3 linked regions of the Tamandua tetradactyla genome follow. The protein of the gene in region 2 purifies or fractionates together with the protein of the main gene of each other region. This does not show direct contact. Links are inferred from orthologs where the notes say so. Each region holds a gene or a part of one and is shown on either strand. Other genes may lie near its edges.

Region 1 (3,749 bases), on a different chromosome or scaffold from region 2:
TAGCCACCCTCCTTCCCTTTGTCTCTCTCCTTTTCTCCAGAGCCAAGCTACTCTACCGTGAAAACTCCTTACCGAATTGGAGAACACCTTCAAACCCTTTCCTGGTGGTGCTTGGCTCAGCTGAAATGGATTGACATTTTTAAAACTTTCTCAATCACTATGGAAGAAAAAAACAAAACCTCACGAGTCAGTCATGTTTTTAAATTACAGAATGGAAAACTGGAACAAAAGAAATCATGCTCCCCCATCCCCGTCTAGATTTCAGTTCCTAAACTGCCCCCACCCTACACTTCTTTTTTCCTAAGGAAGTTTCTCCCACCTTCTCAAGAAAACAAGGAGTATTCAGTGGCATTTAAGTCTCATCCCCAAATGAATAAGGCGGTTACTATATTCTAAGTCCTTTTCCCAACAGAAACCACATAGCATCCTCTCTCCTCCAATCACCAGAGGAACCAGGGTGGTGCGTTCCCAGCAAACTGGTATTCAGACTTTAGTTTGGCTAATTAGTAAATATAGGAACCCTCTGTGTTATCTAGAAGGTGTACCAAGTTCTCCATACTTCAGCTATGAGCCAAATTTTTTAAAGACCATGAAAAACGATCAGGGAAGAGTCCATATATCCTCCCCTCATGCTCTGCAGAATGTTCTCACGTGCTTTTGTTTAATGTCCTGCCAACTCTAAAAGGGTATGCAAGGCGGATATTATTACCCCTTGCACTGATGGGGCAAGGGACGTGCCTAAGAAAGCACAGCATGTTAGCCGACAGCACAGCCAGAATGGACAGCCGATCTACGTGAATTTCTCTTTTCACTCCAAATTCCTTTGTGAAAAAGAATCAGCCCTCAAGGCAAGCAAGAAGTTTACTCAAACTGGAGTAACTGACTCCCGAGGAGCGGTTAACCCTCGATGGTATGGGCTTTGTTCTCACAATGACGTCGGGGTTTTCTTCATGTTTTAACATCCGTTGAGGGTAGCTCTGGGGCAGCCGTTTTTCAAGGACGTTTCCCTAGACAGTTTTATTAACTCGCCCATCAACAAAGTACAATTCAGAAACAGAAGAGAACATTTAAAAAGCTCAAAGCACGTGGCGTATGGGAGCTTATATTCTTGGCCTTTCTCCCGACCCGTAGCCGCGCCCAGTTACGACTGCGTAAGTGACTCGCCTATAAAAGCCTGACTCCTCGCGTCTTCTCGCCACAATCTCTTCCTGTTCTCTGTTCGGTTGTTGTTGTTCCTGGAGCCGTGGTGGCCGTGAAGATGGCGTCTACCAGCCGGTTAGTATGTCCGGCCGAGGCCGGCCAGCTAAGGGGCGGGCGGCGAACTCCAGGGATGCGTAGGCGGTCCCCTACGGCAGCGTCGTGCGAAGCGACCTGGGAGATCCGGGGAGACGCGGCGGAACTGGCTGGCGGACCCGGACAAAGGTCCAGACGACAAGACTGTCAGGGGTGTCGCAGGGGGTTCCGGGTTGTCGGCATTACAGTCTCAGCGTCCTGGGTCTTCCCAGACTTTCTTTTGTACGGTCGTTTTCTTAATTCAGGCACTACCTGGTGTGGGCCTGGGTGTTTTCAGCCGCCGGCCCCTCCTCTTGCCTGTATTTCAACCGTTTGTATTTGTTTTTTTTCCTTCTTGTCATTTTTCTCCACGTTTGTTTTTCCACCCAAGGCCCAACCAGCCTAAGTGTCCAGAGAGTCTTTCTTTCCAAAGAGCGGGAAAAGGGTAGTTCCAGGTCTCTCGATCTGACAGTTTGAGAGTTGAGAACGTCAGCTTTGGTAACCGAATGGAAACTGCTTACCATCCCAGCGGCGCTCCGAAGTGGACGACAGGGCATTTTTTAATAGTTAATGAGTTCTCATCCAAAAGATTTCTTTACAGATATCGCCTTCTGGATACTCCTGAAGAAAATCTTGCCTGCAGGCAATTACTTACATTATGCTGGGAAGTCACTCTTTACAGATATTTGTTAAGTGTAATATTCCCGTATCTAGTAAAAATGCATGCAGTGCCCTTGAGAAGCAGCCTTTAATCTTGTGACCTAAAAAATGCATGCAGACCCTAATTATATCTTTCATTACCCCTATGAGGTAAATACTAGTATTTTTGCATAAGTGTAAACTGAGTCATGCCAATGTTGACTTTTTTTAAGGTTAGTGTTAGAACAGCTAGTAGAACCTCAGATACCTGTTTTCTTGTTATCACACATCGGGCATCTAGTTAACTCAAAATGTATTAAGAGTATCAAATTTCTGCAGCACGGTGGAAGGCATTCTTCTTTAATTATTCTGACTATTATTATCTATGGAATTGAGCTCCGAGTAGAAACTATTGCTCAAAAAATAGTAAGCTGAGTGAGTCTAAACCCTTTCTGGTAACTGCCAAGACTTACCATTTTATATTGCGGAATTAAAAAAAAAATTTTAAAAGGAGCAGCTTTAGTTAATAGTCTGTTTAGAAATAACTCTTAAGACTAATGACACACTTGTTTACTGATTCAAATTCAACGATTGAGTGCTCAATCATTCAGTCTGGGTGTGGTTTTGTCGGGTAAGGCCAGAAAACACACTTCCCTTCCTCGTGGGTATATGGAAAACTTTAGTTTCCCAGAGTCAGCCAAATACAACTTATATTTTCATGGTAGTAAATTTTGGGAGTGAATGTCATATTTGGGCCTTGCTTTTGCATAAAATATATTAGAACAAGAAATTTTATTTGTAAAAAGTGTTGCAGTTTTTAAACAGTTTAGATCATTGTAAATTCACTTGATTGATTTTTTGCCTAAACAGTACATTACTTTTGTGTCTTTATTTTCTTAATTTGTTTTTAAAAATCCAAAAATTTGAAATAAATTTTTACTAGATAATCTGCAGCTCTTGAATTTATGTGCTTTTGCACTTAGACATCTCTCAAGTTTTTCTTTTACCAATAAGAACAAAGAAAGGTCACTGTTAATATATTTTCTTTTAGTTTTTTTTTCCCTGAGGATGAAATACAACCTCTGAGTTGTGAAATTGCCTGTAGTTCTCATAGAGAAGAGCACAAATTTAGTTCAGATCTAAGCTTTACTGCTTATTATTTTGATAACTTTGGGTACATAATTCCTGAGCATAATCTAAAATGGTGATGAATGCCTATTTTGCAGGATTGTGAAGATTAGTAATAATATATGTATTGCACTAGACACATAGTAGACACCCCGTAAATGATAATTGTAAAATGAGGTTTAGGATTAACTGACACTTTAGGTAGTCTACACTATTTTAATGTACATGGTGTTGGTGTTCTCCGTTCCTTTCCTAGTGTTTCTGTTCCTTACTTCCTCCACCACTCCCACTAGAGTGTGGTTCCTCTTTTATGTTACTCTTGTGGATAATTTGATTAAAAGTTGACTACTTTAGCATAGTTTCATTTTATTTTGGATAGCTAGCACAAATCCAAAGTAGGAAAGAATATATACTGAGAAGCAGTTTCCCTCCCCTACTACATCCATCCAGTTCTCCAAAACAGCCTTTGTTTCCAACTGCTTGGTGTTTGCCTTGAGATACTGTTCTTTTAAAAACATTTATATATGTTCTTGCCTCCTTTCCACCAGAAAGTGGCCTAATATAACCAGTGTTCATAACCTTGCTTCTGTCTTTATTGAAGTTAGCACATAAATTTTAAGTGCACAGCTCAGTTATTGCACAGTGAACTCATGCACATAGCTGCCATCCAGAACAAGAAATCAAATTCCCCTGGCACCCCAGAAACCTCT
Region 2 (3,749 bases):
AAGAAAAAAAGAAAAGGAGCTGAAAGGAGACCCAATAGAGTCAAAGAGACTTGAGGTACAGTGGCAAATTTCAATAAAACCAACATGTTGAGAAATGAGATATAAAAAGTGCTCTAGTTAATTAGAAATTTGAATCCTGGCTGATAGGATGTTAAAGACTTACTCCTATTTTCTTTTAAGGTGTGGTAGGGTAGTGTGGTTATTGGCTTGTAAGAGTTCTTGTCTTTTAGAAATACTTATGGATAAACGATCTATCTGGGATTTGTATCAGAATAATGCTTACCATGTGCCTTCTCACTTGAGAGAGAAACCCTGAACTTCATCGGCCTTTTTGAACCAAGGTATCTTTCCCTGGAGGCCTTAGATTGGACATTTCTCTAGACTTGCTTTAATTGGGACATTTTCTCAGCCTTAGAACTGTAAACTAGCAACTTATTAAATTCCCCTTTTAAAAAGCCATTCCGTTTCTGGTATATTGCATTCTGGCAGCTAGCAAACTAGAACAGGCCCTTCCAGGGAGCCGGGTAGTGGAAGCTCCAGATTTCCTTGGGGTCCCAGGCTGCTGCCCTGCCCTGGAGAAACAGCTGGGAAGATATCAGGGCTCCAACAGCTAACCTGCAAACCCAGTACCTGTGCTTTCAACAGCCCAGGCAGGACCTTTACAAGCTGTACTCTGCAAAAATACAGCGAATCCCAGCAGGGTAGATACACTTACCCAACCCGCGCTGCTCTCCCGCGCCCATGTCCACCTGCCTCCTGCCCAAACCGTCTCTGCCAACATAACGCTCACTGGGCCATCAGCCCAAACATTGGCAGCCAGTGCCGGCTGGGCCAGGGGGCTTGCAGCAGCCGGCCCGAGCAGCCTCGGCAGCGGGTTTATCCGCACACCACCGCCGGGCTGACGGGATGCAGCCCAGGAGGCCCCTTCAGCGCTGCACGGCTGCCGCCACTCCAGGGGCCACTACCCTATGGCTTGGTTCTCCTGCTCCATACTCTAAGGGAGCATTTTCAAAGAGAGATCAAAGGGCATGGGGAACCCAGAGAGGCCCAATTCGGGGGGCGGGTGGTCCCAGCTCAGTCCGGACGAGGCTGTCTCTAGTTCCAGCGCTCTCCTCAGCCTCGCAGCAAGCAACACACTCCCCCGCAGGGAAGCGGACATAGTGCACCTTCCAGATTTACGCATGCGCAGAGCCACCGGCCGCCCTCCCTCCTGCGGGCCTCCCTCGCTCCTGGGCACGGACCTCCAGCCGCCAGGGGGCAGTGGAGCCTAGCCTAGTCCTTACGCGGGTCTGGCACCGGCGACGTAACCCGGAAGCAGACGCGGAACCGGAAGAGGTCGCGTCGTAGCGCTGTGGAGGCGGACGTAGCTGCCGCTGCGAGTCTGGCAGCGGTCCCGGCGTTAGGATGAACGCCCCTCCAGCCTTCGAGTCGTTCCTGCTCTTCGAAGGCGAGAAGAAGTAAGTGGAGCGGGCCGGGTGCGGAGTTTGGGGAGGCAGGGACAAGGCCGAGGTTCGCGGACCCCTGGACCAGATCCTGCGGAACTGGGGGTTCCCCTGCGCGGCGCTTTTTCTGGAGGGTCTGCCAAGCCAAGCGCTTTGCGCCTGTATAGGTCAAACTTGAGGCAGTGGGGAGTACCCGTTTTGCAGAGTTCACTGAGGCTCAGAGTAGTTGAATTACCCGCCCCGGACACATAGCAAGTGGCGGGGTCTGTAGACGAACCCAGAAGGCTTGACACCCCCAGTCCTTTTCCTCAGGGATCTGACAGCCTCCTCCCTCGTCTCCCAGTTTGCCATCTCCATCCTCCTTGCTGCTGCCACAGGGATAGGTTTAAAACTAATATCCGATCAGATGGGCGCCTGTGTGAAACCCTTCAGTGACTCCTCGTTGCCTGCAGATTGAGGGAAAATGTAGTTGAGTGGTTATACAGCCTGGGCTTGCCTCCTGGATCCTCCACTGACTGACTGTATTTTTGGAAGAGTGACTTGATTTCTCTGAGGCTCATTTTTCACAGCTGTAAAATGGGCTTTTATTCTAATTAATTGTTGGTATTTCTCTCAGGAAAGAGTAAATGAGGTAATTTGTGTAAATAGCTTAACCTAGAGCTCAGTACATGGAAGACGCTCATTAAATATTGACTCTTCTTACCCTAAAAAAATTAGAAAGAGGGGTGCAAAGGTTGTTTAGTGGTAGCATTCTTGCCTGCCAGGGTTTGACAACTGGGTTTGCACTCCCCCCCGCCCCCCCCCCCCCCCCCCCCCCCCCCCCCCCGGGAAAAAAGATTCAACAAATGGTGCTGCAATAACAGGATAGTCACATGGAAAAAGAATGAAAAGTTACCTCCACCATACAGCATACAAAAGAAAAAGCCTGGTATACAGGATTCTCTAATCCTTGCTGTCACCAGCCACTTCAACTTGGCTTTAGAGCAGAGGTTCTTGACTGTAAGTCATTTTGTGCCCCAGGAGACATTAGGTAATGTTTGGAAACTTTTGAAGTTGTCACATGGGGGGCTGTTACTGGCACTCAGTGGATGGAGGCCAGGGATGCTGCTACAGACCCTACAGTGTACAGGACAGCCCCCTGCAACAAAGAATGGCAGAGTCTGAAGTGTCACGATGCGAGACTGAGAAACCCTGCTGTGGAGAAAAGGAGCGGTTCAGAGTAAGGCAGGGATCCCACAGTCAGGATGTCTATGGGATCAAAATATAGACACAGTGCTGCTCAGGGTCAGCGGGACTTGATGGAATGAACAGACCCAGAAAGCTTCCAGGAAGTGGAGGGACTTAGGCCTGCTTTGATGGGCAGGATTTAGAACTGGCGAGGCGGTCGGGGCAGGAGGAAGGGTCTTGGCCCCTCATTTGTTGCCTCTGTCTCTTCCCAGAATCACCATTAACAAGGACACCAAAGTACCCAATGCCTGTTTGTTTACCATCAACAAAGAAGACCACACACTAGGAAACATAATTAAATCGTAAGTTCCAGGGCAGAGGTGCTCAGGGGCTGTGCTCAGTGGGGCTCTTTGGGCAAGTTTCATAATATTTTCTTAAGTCCCTCACGGTGCTTACTCTGGCATGTCACAGTTCCAGCAACTTTTCTGCAGAATGATGCTGACCTTAATCTGTTGCCATAAGCCACATGACTAATTTAGCTGACTACAGTTGGTGAATGCTTAGCAAGCCCCCAAATTCCACTCTGGAAAGGTAGGAAGTACCTACTGCATTTCAGTGCTGATGAGTTGAGAAGTGATCAAGGTTAGCTCCCTCCACCCCCATTTGTGGTGACCTATGCCATGTCCTACCTGGCATTCAGGGATCATAAGTTTAATAGAATGAGGGAAAGAACTGGGGGAGGTGTCCTGTAGTTATCCAGTGCCTCTGTTGGGTAGCTGGTACTGGTTGGTGGATGTCTGTTTACACCAGTGAGGTCCTGGCCAGGTGGTCAGGGATGTGATTGTCACTCTGACCCAGGTACTTGTCATTTCGCTGCTGATACTTGCTAATTCCTCTGGTCCTGTGGCCTTTCCTGGGCTTGCAGTGTGCGAGGCTGTGGGCAGCAACTCACCCGATCTCTTCTGGTGCCAGGAGTGGAGATGCACTTGTTTTGTCCGGATGACCGGTGTCGAGCCAGTGCTACACCCACGCTCTGCTGGGGCTTGCTGCTCACCTGCTGGATGAGCTGTGTCCAGTCTGTGCGGAGGGGAGTTAGATGCAGCAGCCTTCTCTCTTGGTGACACTGAACTGCCCTAGAGA
Region 3 (3,749 bases), on a different chromosome or scaffold from region 2:
GAAGAGTGCTTTGAAAACTATTGCTTTTTTCTTTCTTTGCTTTGTATATACATTATACAATAAAAAAAATTTAAAAAGAAAAACAAAAAAAACCTCCCGTTGCATCTTTTCAGTATTCCAGGACCATCTTAAAGATGAGAAACAAAAACAAAACAACCCTTTAGAGTACTTCCACTGGGCAAGACAAGTAGCAACTATAGCAAGGGTTTTAATAAGACAAATTATTTCTTCACTGAAAATCTTCCAAAAAGTGGAAAACTAACAGTCATTTTTTCCTTTTCTAATGTCCCATTTGTCAAAAATACTGGTGCAACACAACTCACTGAGAAGATTGGAATGCTCCCATCCCAAGTGTGGCTGGGGCATTTCTCTTTAGGACTGCAGTCCCCCAAATTCAGTAATTAAAATCTCTTCATCGCACGGAGACAGAGCAACCGGCGGCCTTCGAGAAAACACTGCTCCGGTCCCGCAGGCCATCTTTTCTCCCGGATGGCAGGCCTGGCCCAAGCCCTGCAATAGGGTGGTCGCCGGGTCCTCACCGTGCCGCGCTCGAGCGCGGATAAAAGCTCAGACTGAGTGCGGAGGCATCCAGGGGAAGCCATTTCTCCCTACCACTATCCGCTGCGGGGTTCGGGCCCCACCGCTTCACGAAGCCTGGCTTGTCCACGGCGCAGGGTCCTGCCTCACAGCCCACCCACTGTCCCCGGCAGCCGGGGACTTCCCGGCGCCTATACTTACCAGTCGGCCCTCTAGCCGTCCGAGCGCCCTCCTTCACCTCCTCCCGCCGCGTAGGCCGCTCGCCGGTCCCGCCCCGGCCGGCTCCGTCTCCCCGCCCCCTCCGGCGCTACGCGAAGGGAGGCGGAGCCTGGCGGAGAGACGCCAGCGCCGGTCTCCGATTTTCAGACGACGTATCCCAATGGCTGACGGGGCCTCGCCGCTACCAGCTGGCCGCAGGGCCCGAGCTTCCGGCACTTCTCGAAAGGCCGCAGGTAAGAACGAAAACCGCTTCCCATGTTTGGACCTTGAGAACAGGGCCCTGACAGTTTCCGACCGACGCGCACGGGGCTTCCCGAACCCAGGGGAGAGGGTCTGCGGGACCGAGAGACGGACAGCTTCCCTTGTTCCTGAGTGTTCCAAGATTTTTCCTACAGGCACACACCAGTGTTCCGGGATTTTTTCCCCTCGTGGGCTTTGGCCCCAGCTGTAGAGGTGCTGGGAGCCTAGCGCTGGCGCTCGCCGGGCTGTGTGCAGCTGGCTTCGGCCCCCAGACCTATCTTCCTGGCAGACGTGCTGCAACTTTCCTACTCGGGTTCCCTGAATTGTGGGAACGTCCCCTCTTCCCCCAGGGAGCGAGCATTTAGAGGATGGAGAGAGAGTTCTCCAGAACTCAGATTTTCAAGAGTGCTTAACTAAGCAACTCTGATACAGTGAAAATTCAATCCCTAAAAAGATAGTTTTAACTAAGAAAAATTAGGGAATAAATTAAGTTTAAAAAAGAACAAAAAAAATTTGGACTACATTCCCATATCTTACAAACAAGATTGGAAATGAAATGTGTAGAAAAATAGGAAAGATAGTCTGGTGTGTTTGAGTTCTGTAAGTACGAGTCTGACCTGTACTTAGTGTGTTTGTGCATACTTGGCCCACTATGTTTGTTTTTTTTTTTTTTTTTTAAATACAGGATCTAAACTGACAAGTGCTTTGAAACAAGAAGATGCTTCTAAAAGGTATGAGAACTACTTGGGCAACTACATTCACTTATCTATATATCTCATATTAATTGACATTTTTTAAAACAGTGAGTGCTCCCATAGAGAAAATTGTTATGAGGAAAGATGCCAGCCTGGGAAACACTGTAAATTCCCACATTCATTATTATATCCCTCTACTCCAGGCTTCAAGAAAACCAAATCTGAAACTTTTACGTTGATGACTGAGATATCAGTGTATGTAGAAAGATGTCTATGAAACATCTTAACCAGGTACTCCTTTTATTGGTACACCAGGGAGTCACTGTCCAAATTTCTCTCCTTATTATTCCAAGAAGCCTTTTCTGTTCTTTTTTTACATCAAGTCTGGATTTTTGTAACAAAGTTGTCATGTACTGTGTCTTGGCTTCTCCTCAAAAACACAAGGGATTATCACCTGTAATAAAAGGTTTCTAGAATAGTAGTAGTCTATGATGATGATGATAAAAATATATATCTATCATTTCTTTCTTTGAGAAGACTCACTAAGTTGTATTGTCTTTTAGGCTTCATTTATTCATTTATTTAAGCATTCATTCATGTTAGGCGCTGCTGTTATGATGTTGAATAAACAGTTCCTAGCTAGTGGAAGAGAGTGATACCAATTAAATGATCACAGATAAATAGATAATTACAAATTGTGTTAAGTGCTATCAAAAGAAAAGACTATGATGTTAGAATGAATGAAGAATGAAAGTCCATTTTAGCCAAAGGTTGGTGGGGAGAGTGGCTGTAGGTTTTTTGAGAAAAAGTTTCTCTGAGGGCGTGATAAGCTGAGATAAAGTTAAACAAAGAAAACACAAGTGAGGAGAGACTTCTAGGCTGAGGTGACAGTATTTCTGAAACCCTGAGATGAGAAAGTGCTTGACCAGTTAAAAAAAAGAGGCAAGATAGCTGGGGTAGTCTGAGCAGAGAAGGAAAGGGGCTAGGAAAAGGGGAGAGAGGCAGGATCCTGTTCATATAGTATCTGGAAGCCATGGTAAGAAATTATATTATTGTTCTAAATGCAAATGAGAAAACTGTGTAACAGAGTGATGTGATTCAAGTTTTTGTGTTTAAAATTTTATTGTGGTAGCATAAATTTTATCTTTAAGAAATGTAAGATTTGCAATTTTAGCTACTTTAAGTGTTCAATTCAATGACATTAATTACATTTTCCAGATTATGCTACAGCACCACTATCTTTTACCAGAATTTTTCATCACCCAAAACAAGAAGGTCTGTACCCATTAAGCAATAATTTCCCCATTCTTACTTGGTGCTCTAGTTTGCTAGCTGCTAGAATGCAACACACCAGAGATGGATTGGCTTTTAATAAAAGGGGATTTATTTCGTTAGTTCTTCAGAGGAAAGGCAGCTAACTTTCATTTGAGGTTCTTTCTTACATGGGACGGCTCAGAATGATCTCTGCTGGCCTTCTCTCCAGGCCTCTGGGTACCAACAACTTTCCCCGGGGTGATTCCTTTCTGCATCTCCAAAGGCCTGGACTGAGCCGCAGTTGCTGAGATGAGGTGTGCTGAGCTGCTTGGGCTGTGCTACGTTGAGCTTTCTCATTTAAGCACCAACCAATTAAGTCAAACATCATTCATTGCAGCAGGCATGCCTAGCCGACTGCAGATGTAATCAGCAACACGTACCATTGGCTCATGGTCACAGCAACAGAGCTAGGTGCCTTCACCTGGCCAAGTTGACAACTGAATCTAACTACCACACTTGGTAAACCACTATTCTGCTTTCTGTCTCTGAAATCATACAATAATTGTCCTTTTGTTTCTGGCTTATTTCACTTGGTATAATATTTTCAAGGTTTGTCCATGTGGTAGCATACATTAGAACTTCATTCTTTTTTATGACTATAATATTTCATTGTATGTATATACCACATTTGGTTTATCCCTTCAGCTGTTGGTGTAAACTTTGGTTGCCTTCATCTTTGGTGGTTGTGAAAAATGGTGTAATAAACATTGGTATACTGATATCTGTTTGAGTTCTTGCCTTCAG

The links.
Region 1: the proteins of POLR2J (region 2) and GTF2B purify together in Homo sapiens (affinity purification with mass spectrometry; 3 studies listed by BioGRID and IntAct, with this or other methods). This does not show direct contact. The link is inferred for Tamandua tetradactyla from reciprocal best matches to the Homo sapiens genes POLR2J and GTF2B.
Region 3: the proteins of POLR2J (region 2) and RPAP2 purify together in Homo sapiens (affinity purification with mass spectrometry; 5 studies listed by BioGRID and IntAct, with this or other methods). This does not show direct contact. The link is inferred for Tamandua tetradactyla from reciprocal best matches to the Homo sapiens genes POLR2J and RPAP2.

What each region holds. Positions count from the first base shown.
Region 1 is NC_135337.1:35,877,055-35,880,803, forward strand, and holds the start of GTF2B (transcription initiation factor IIB), read left to right. Parts: upstream 1-1,136; 5' UTR 1,137-1,258; coding exon 1,259-1,275; exon of another isoform or gene 1,276-1,732; intron 1,733-3,749. UniProt on the Homo sapiens protein: General transcription factor that plays a role in transcription initiation by RNA polymerase II (Pol II). Involved in the pre-initiation complex (PIC) formation and Pol II recruitment at promoter DNA.
Region 2 is NC_135349.1:10,165,539-10,169,287, reverse strand, and holds the start of POLR2J (DNA-directed RNA polymerase II subunit RPB11-a), read left to right. Parts: upstream 1-1,307; 5' UTR 1,308-1,404; coding exon 1,405-1,457; intron 1,458-2,800; exon of another isoform or gene 2,801-2,881; coding exon 2,882-2,971; exon of another isoform or gene 2,972-3,749. UniProt on the Homo sapiens protein: Core component of RNA polymerase II (Pol II), a DNA-dependent RNA polymerase which synthesizes mRNA precursors and many functional non-coding RNAs using the four ribonucleoside triphosphates as substrates.
Region 3 is NC_135337.1:32,018,492-32,022,240, reverse strand, and holds the start of RPAP2 (putative RNA polymerase II subunit B1 CTD phosphatase RPAP2), read left to right. Parts: upstream 1-799; 5' UTR 800-916; coding exon 917-989; intron 990-1,681; coding exon 1,682-1,727; intron 1,728-2,909; coding exon 2,910-2,966; intron 2,967-3,749.